2 linked regions of the Macaca fascicularis genome follow. Each later gene encodes a partner of the first gene's protein in a complex. Links are inferred from orthologs where the notes say so. Each region holds a gene or a part of one and is shown on either strand. Other genes may lie near its edges.

Region 1 (3,520 bases):
CGGATCTCGAGGTCAGGAGATCGAGACCGTCCTGGCTAACACGGTGAAACCCCCGTCTCTACTAAAAAATACAAAAAACTAGCTGGGCGAGGTGGCGGGTGCCTGTAGTCCCAGCTACTCGGGAGGCTGAGGCAGGAGAATGGCGGGAACCCGGGAGGCGGAGCTTGCAGTGAGCTGAGATCCGGCCACTGCACTCCAGCCTGGGCGACAGAGTGAGACTCCGTCTCAAAAAAAAAAAAAAAAAAAAAAAAAAAAAGAAATCACGGATTGTACTCAATGAGACCAATGTGGGGCAGATGATGGAAAGCTGGAATTAGGAGATTCTAGACAAGCAGTGAAACATTAAGGTAGCATTAAGGAAGTCCCGAAGATTTCGTTTTATCCTTTTTATCATAACCATTGCCATCTACTTCCCCCTTCAGTTTTTCTTCCTCAGATTTCGCTGTATTGCAGAATACGGTCCCCAACTTTCTCCCTTCCCGATTGCCCGTAAGACAAGCACACAGACCTTGGTTCAAAGGTTTTACTTCTCATCCTGAGAAGACTGTACAAACTAAGAAAGTAACAACCTGGGGAAATGGCTGAAGTTCCAAGACTCCAGACTTCTTACAGGTTTCATCTCTCTTCTGTGGCCACTAACTTCTCAAGGAGGCAGTGCCCAAAAGCCCTGTGGTTTTTTGATCCGTTGTACTTCGACAGCTTCTCCTTTCCCTAGATCCAGCAGAATTCTAGACATATAAGACATAGTTCACAAAACAACAGTTATGAACCAACAAATACTTGGTTCACGGTTATAAGCCATTGAAGTCAGTCAGACTTAAGGACAACTAGACAGAGCTCCCATTTTCTGTCATCTGGGCAGGAACCAATCTCCTTTTGTATCAAATGGCCTTCTGGTACATTCTGGAATCTTGCTTCCTCATCTATTTAGTGAGGCTAATACCGCTTACTTGTAGTTTTGTTGTAAACTAAGATAAAGCCTGACATATTACTCATTTTAAAATTGTACACACAGACCCTGCTTTAACCAGATGCCTGCAAATACTCAGGTTTTCCTTCTACATATAGAAGACAACTTATCAGCTGCCAGGGCTGAAGCCAGCAGATATGGCTAAATGACAGAACAAAGGATTATGCCAATAAACTATGCAAAGCTTCCTTGCCCAGAATATAAATCAAACAGAGTAAAAAGCGAGTATATTGGCTCCAGGAAAAGGAGCAAGGACAGCCAGTTTTCAGGCGACCTCGAATTCTCTCCGTTTAGGATTCACCAACCCTAAGGTCCACTGGGTCCTTCAATCTGAGGGTCCATCCAGGGCCTTCCCTCCTGGGGTTGGAGATGGCTAGCTGCCTGATGGAGAGACCCCAGGCTGCTCAGCAGCAACGCCTGGCACAGCCGAGACAGCCTCGTAGTCTGCGATGCGGCGCTGTACCAGGGCAGGCATGAGCTGCACGTAAGCGGCCATGAGGCGGTGGTTGGAATGGATCAGCTTCCCAGCACAGCTGTGCAGACAGGCCTCCTAGAAGGAAGATAGGGTTTAAGCGGAGGACAAAGGTGTCCTGTCGGGCCCGCCTCCGTCCTTCCCCATGCACAGCCTAGGGGTGAGGGTCTGGGAAGGCCAGGACCAGAGGTAGGGGAAGTGGGGTGAGGAGGGAAGCAGTCTACCGCTAAACTCTGTTTGCAGCGTAACCTCCTTACACAGTTCCCCACCTCCTCAGCGTCCAGAGCTCGGTGGTGCAAGCTGGGCACACAACGCTGGAAGCAGAGTTCTGTCATCCGATTGTAGACCAACAGGAAGTCACGCAGCTGGGAGAAAACCGGGACCACGAACTCAGCGATATGTGCCCCACACTTCTACTCAAGGTCGCGCCGCCCAAAGTTTCCCAGGCCCGCGCACCATAACCCGAAGTTTCCAGCCCTCAGATCCCTGGCTCTATGGGGTTTCCGCGATGTGTGCAGGAATGCGAGCTGAACGTCTGGCCCCGAAACGACTTAGTTCTCACTCACGTTTCTCAGTTGCTGTTGCTGCTGCTGCTGCTCCATCACGCCACCGGCGCATGCTCTACGCCACTTCCTTTTCAGCTTCTCGGTGCCGCCCCGGAAGTAACCTCTCGCTGCTCTCGAGAACCAAGCTAGAGTATCGCCCTGCCCCGGCTTCGACGTCACTTCCGCCCTTATAATCTGCGACGTGGCCGGCTTCTTCTGCCCGGAGAGGACGTCACTTCCGCCGAGTCCCTGACCTGCTGCTAGGATCGCGACGGGAACTGGAGCCCGAGGTCCCCGCGCGGCCCGGGCCTGGCGCCCTGAGGGGAAGAGCGGCCCGGCCCGAGGTGAGAGGGACATGCTTGGGCGACGGGAAGTTGAACGCACAAACCTGTCCAGAGGGCAAGATGCCCCGAGCCCTGGGGAAGAATGAGGACACACCTGATGTCCAGGTGTATGGGGGTGGGGGCGGGGACTCACATACCTGGGAGACTGACTGTGGAAGGGATCACCGATATCCTGGTAAAGACAGGCTTTTGCCAGAGACTGGGAACATACACCAACTGATCTAACTAAGGCCTGGTGGGGAGGGCCCAAGGAAGAGGAGTTGTATGAGACGGAGGAGGGGAGACCCCCTGAAGGAAGGGGGAAGAAACACTAAAGGAGTGAGAAAGGCCAAGCAATGGAGAACAAACCTGAATGGGGGGTGAAGACCTGAGCCCTGGAAAGGGTCCATCTCCTGCTCAGCATAAACACGCCTGCATGGAGATAAGTTCTAAGAGAGCTACTTTCCCTCTTCACTGTTGTATTTTCATTGTCACAAATAGTACCTGACACAGAGTAGGCACTCACTAAATGTCTGCTGAATGACTGAATGAGTGTAGAATAATCACCAGAGGCCTGGTGAGGTTGGGGGCTTGTGAGAAGACACCGTGCTTTGGTGTGCCTGTGTACAAATGTGCATTTTGGAGGGGAGAAATACATATACCTGAAGAAAGGAATGATGACCAAACGCTGGGACACTCAAACCCTGGGACAGCCTTTAAAGAAATGACAGAGGAGGCTTCCTTCTTCTAGAGTGCTGGCCAGTGCCCAGAACTTCTGTGTTGGGCTTTGCAGGGTGCTGGGGTGGAGAGTTTTACTCCAATACCTTTCCTAGCCATGACGGACGGGATCCTAGGGAAGGCAGCCACAATGGAGATCCCTATCCACGGGAACGGTGAAGCCAGGCAGCTTCCTGAAGATGATGGGCTGGAGCAGGTGCTTCTGTTTGATTCTTCTAATTGTTTCAATTTAGGAATCCAATTTATAAATCCTGGGTTCTCACCCTCCATTCCAGTAGCCTTCCCCTGAACTTATCTGACTCCCTTAATTTTACATATCATTTTGATTCTGTGCAGACTTCCCTTGTGTAGTGTCTTTATGATGCTTGAATCCAAACTTGTTCCCACCTCCAAAATGCTTCTGCAGTCCCTATGTTCCTGAAGCAACCCCTCTTCTCTGGCCTATAGGACCTCCAGCAAGTGATGGTGTCAG
Region 2 (4,303 bases), about 44 Mb from region 1:
GACGGGGTTTTGCCATGTTGGCCAGGTGGTCTTGAACTCCTGACCTCAAGTGATCCACCCACTTCAGCCTCCCAAAGTGCTGGGATTACAGGCGTGAGCCACTGTGCCTGGCCTGTCCTACTCTTAAACACTACATTAGTCTCCCTCTGCTGGTAGGGGCTGTGTCTGTTTACTCTCAAATGCCACGCACACTGCTTTGCACATAGTAGGTGTCAACAAACTTGTTTTAATATATATATACATACATACATACATACACACAGTCACATTCCAGTGTGACAAATACTCCTTCACCAGGGGACAGCGCTACCACTCCAGGATCTTGAAGACTCGCTACAGAGAGCTTAGGCCTGGCAGTCCTCACAGATGACACCCAACAGGGAGCACTTTTATTAAAGTGGGAAGGGGTGGGGTGTACCCCAGGGTGTATGCTGACACGGACCTCACGCGGGCCCAGAGCTCTGCTGCACCCTCTTCATCAGCTCTTCATCCTGCATAGACAACTCTGTCAACTTTTTGCCCATTCGCTCATGGATGTCCAAGTACTTAGAGACACATCGGTCCAGGCACACAGACTCGCCCTTGGAGAGCTCTGCTTCCTTGTAGTGAGGAGGTACACACTTCCGGTGGCAGGCACTGGTCATTCTGGAGGGAGGGAGGGGCAAGGTCATGTCAGCAGCATCCTGTGACATCCCAGGAACCCTCGACCATTCCAGCCCTGCTATATTGATGTCACCTTCCCCAAGAAAGCAGTGTAAATCCTCAGTTTACACCTCAACCACTGGAAGGTCCTTGCAAGTAGGAAACTTGCCTGAGCCCATGTATATGACTAATTAAGTAGAAACAATTTGTTAAGGACTGGCTATGTGCCAGGCATCATGCTAAGTGCTTTACCTGCATTCTGTTACGCAATGCTTACAATTACCCCAAGAGATACTTATCCCCATTTTACAGACGAGAAAATTAAGGCAAACAGAGGCTCAGTAATTTTTTTTTTTTTTTTTTTTTTTGAGACGGAGTCTCGCTCTGTCGCCCAGACTGGAGTGCAGTGGCGCGATCTCGGCTCACTGCAAGCTCCGCCTCCCGGGTTCACGCCATTCTCCTGCCTCAGCCTCCCAAGTAGCTGGGACTACAGGCGCCCGCCACCACGCCCAGCTAATTTCTTTTTGTATTTTTAGTAGAGACGGGGTTTCACCGTGTTAGCCAGGATGGTCTCGATCTCCTGACCTCGTGATCCACCCGCCTCGGCCTCCCAAAGTGCTGGGATTACAGGCTTGAGCCACCGCGCCCGGCCGAGGCTCAGTAATTTTCTAAGAATCACATAGAGCTGAGATATGAACCCAGGTCATCTGACCTCACAGTCTACACTTAACAATCTTTCTAATTTATAGTCGTCAGGATAAACCAATCAAGAGAGCTTAAGCCAATAAAAATAGCAGACATTTCACTGTTACTAAGTGTTGGGCTTGAGGCTAAGGACTTTCATATATTTTTAGATTTAATATTTATGATGCCCTATGAGGTAGGTATCATTATGTCTTTTTCATAATGAGGAAACCAATTGTCAAACAGTGCAAGTAACATGTCCAAGTATACTGCTGGTGATTGGTGGAGCCAGGATTTGTTCCCAAATGTGCCAAATGGTTATGAGCACTAGTTGCAGAACCAGACTGAGGTGCTAGTTCTGGCATTGTTACCCACCAGCTGCGGACCCTAAGGAAGTTACTTAACCTCTAGCAGCATCAATTTCCTCATTTTAAGATGGGACTAATAAAATTAACCCACTGGATTATTTTGAAGATTAACAAGAGCCTGACACAGAATAAAGGGTTTTAAAATGTTAACTACTAAATGGGCTGGCTATGTGCTATTTATCAAGAGGCAAATACTCAGCTTTTCTTGGAACCTAACCAGAGCCTGGATTGGAGTTTCTCTTCCTGCTTGGCTCCTGCATTGCCAGTTCCATCCCCATCTAAATGCCCAACTCATTCTAGTGACTGCGTCTACATTAGGATCAACCTTGGAGGTGCGTATGGGGAGGGTAAGCATGGGCCTCAGGCTCCCCTACATTCAGGAAGGAATTTGTTGTAAGTCATTCACCTTCGATATGGGTGACCAAGACTTATTTTCCAAGACAGGGTAGAACATAGTTCTCTTTACCTGTTGTACATATCGGCCATCATCTCCACCTCCAGCTCCGCAGCCAGCTGTTGGGCCCTGAGAGGATCCATCTCAGCCTAGCACCGTGGAAGGTATCTCCTTCTGGCCTCCTAATCCTGGGAGCAGACATCACCATCAGCACCCACCGCCGCCGTTCACTCTCCTACCCCTTGGGGCTAGAGGATACAGAGGACTCACAGGGCGCCAGACCACCACGGGCCACTAACCTCAGTAAGATTAACCACCCCATTTCACGGATGTGGAAACTGAGGCCTCGCCCAAGGTCGCACAGGACGTCCATGGCGAGCCTGGAAATCGAGCCCCGGATCTCTGATGCCCCAGTCCCTGGAGGTCACCTCTATTCAGAAGATCGAGGACCGAGGCAGAACGCTCTAACCCATAAGCCTGAACCTCCAGGGCCCTGGGAATGAGATCGTACGCTGAACACAGGCGACCGGGACGCAGCCTAAAGGCTGCGCCTCTGAAATGGCGACGCCATAATCAGAGCCACATTGAATTCAGAGGTCATGGGTCACTCACCACTGCCTGGGACGGATCGCAATGCTCACGGAGACCCCAACTTCTGACAAAAACTATAACGTTACCCGCCTCTCCAGAAGGCTCCAGCGGAAGCACGTGGGTTACTTCCGGGAGGGAAGTCCCGCCTCTCCTTTGATTCAAACTCGCTTCCGGAACTAAATACCAACGAGACGGCGCCGGGAACTCGGCGATCCTAGAGAGGGAGCGGCCGGCGCCGGGCGAAGAGGAAGGCGACTTGCCAGTGCTAGAGGGGACGCCAAAGTACCATAGAGGCTTGGGCGGGGTGCAGAGCGTCTGCAGCCCGCTTACAATTCAAGTCCCTTGGGATGTCACAGAGCCGCTTCAGTTTATTGGTTCTGTAGGAAGAGGCGTGGTGACAGATATCAGTGAATCTCATCCCAGTTCCGGACAGCCGACTCCTGAGCGTAAATCAGGCGTGGAGAAGGAAGAACGCCCCCAAACAGCGATTCTGTTTTTGTTTCGCGTTAAAATCCCTGGAACGTTTTTAAACGTCCCAGTGCCCAGGACTCACCTCATTTCAATTAAATCAGAATCTCTGGGAGTAGGACCCAGGCATCAATACAATTTAAAATTCCCCAGGTGATTCGTATGTACAGCCAAATTTGAGAAGCAGTGCTCCATGGGACGTTGTGCGATTACTACTGTGTGTAGGTCACACTAAGCCCCTTCTGGTGTTGCAACGATAAGCGAGATAGGCTTCCTGCTCGTAGAAAGACAAGACGTGTAAAATATGTTTTCTTCAACAGTCAGAGGTCCTGAGCCACAAAGAGATTAATAAAAGCAATTTCGGCTGCCACCGAGGCTAATCATGGGTGAGGGAGAAGGAGGGTACTGGTGAACTTTTCAACTTTCAAGACTTAATGTGTTCTTCAAACTGCACCATTCACTCATTCCCCACTAAAAAGAAGGAAACAACACTCAGTCCCTTGATTTGTCACACAATTTCCTAGTAAAATAAATTTACAAGATGTAAATTGATGACGCAAGGGCACATTGCTCATTGGAAAAGGTGGGCTAGACATTTTATATGTGTGGTCATCATATGCTTCCCTAATTGTCCAAGACCATCCTGATTTTAAACAATCGACCTTTCTGCTTTGAAGACTCATCTTTGTCAAACCTTGTGCCCTGATTTTTAAAGATTGAGGTATAATATTCATAAAGTGCATAAAATACACGAATCTCAAGCTTAATTAAATATATATGTGTATATATACATTTGTATAACCACCACCCAGATCAAGATATAAAATACTTCCTGCACCCCAAAAAGTTATCTTGTGTTTCTTCCCCATCAATACTCCCTCTTGAAGTTAACCACTATTCTGACCTCTATCACCATCAATTCGTTTTCCTTGTTCTTGAACTTCATGTAAATGGAATTACACATTATTTTCTATTTTGTGCCTGACGTCTTTAGCTCAATGTACCTGTAAGGTTTCCTCCATATTGTTGTGTGCATCTGTTATTCCTTCTGTTTTATTGCTGTCTAGTGTTTGATTGTATGAGCATGCCACAATTCATTTATCCATTCTCCTGTTGATGGATGTTTGGATTGTTTCCAGTTTTTGCCTACTATGCA

Evidence for each region.
Region 2: the proteins of TIMM10B (region 1) and TIMM10 are in contact, whole or in part, in a cryo-EM structure (PDB 7CGP), measured with the Homo sapiens proteins. The link is inferred for Macaca fascicularis from reciprocal best matches to the Homo sapiens genes TIMM10B and TIMM10. Residues at the interface, in NP_036324.1 of Homo sapiens: Gln7, Leu11, Leu14, Arg15, Phe17, Leu18, Leu19, Tyr21, Asn22, Arg23, Met24, Thr25, Glu26, Cys28, Phe29, Val33, Pro34, Ser35, Leu36, His37, His38, Arg39, Leu41, Glu46, Leu49, His50, Ala53, Gly54, Ile57, His61; in NP_036588.1 of Homo sapiens: Ala6, Leu9, Leu13, Glu16, Met17, Asp20, Met21, Arg24, Ala28, Lys32, Cys50, Asp52, Arg53, Cys54, Ser56, Lys57, Tyr58, Asp60, Ile61, His62, Glu63, Arg64, Met65, Gly66, Lys68, Leu69, Leu72, Asp76.

The regions. Positions count from the first base shown.
Region 1 is NC_088388.1:59,598,634-59,602,153, forward strand, and holds TIMM10B (mitochondrial import inner membrane translocase subunit Tim10 B), read right to left. Parts: upstream 2,066-3,520; 5' UTR 2,045-2,065; coding exon 2,009-2,044; exon of another isoform or gene 1,902-2,008; coding exon of another isoform or gene 1,899-1,901; intron 1,808-1,898; coding exon 1,712-1,807; coding exon of another isoform or gene 1,700-1,711; intron 1,521-1,699; coding exon 1,344-1,520; 3' UTR 510-1,343; downstream 1-509. Other genes in the region: ARFIP2 (arfaptin-2), read left to right, coding at 3,146-3,244, 3,496-3,520. UniProt on the Homo sapiens protein: Component of the TIM22 complex, a complex that mediates the import and insertion of multi-pass transmembrane proteins into the mitochondrial inner membrane.
Region 2 is NC_088388.1:16,082,105-16,086,407, reverse strand, and holds TIMM10 (mitochondrial import inner membrane translocase subunit Tim10), read right to left. Parts: upstream 2,810-4,303; 5' UTR 2,701-2,809; intron 2,337-2,700; 5' UTR 2,232-2,336; coding exon 2,161-2,231; intron 646-2,160; coding exon 444-645; 3' UTR 207-443; downstream 1-206.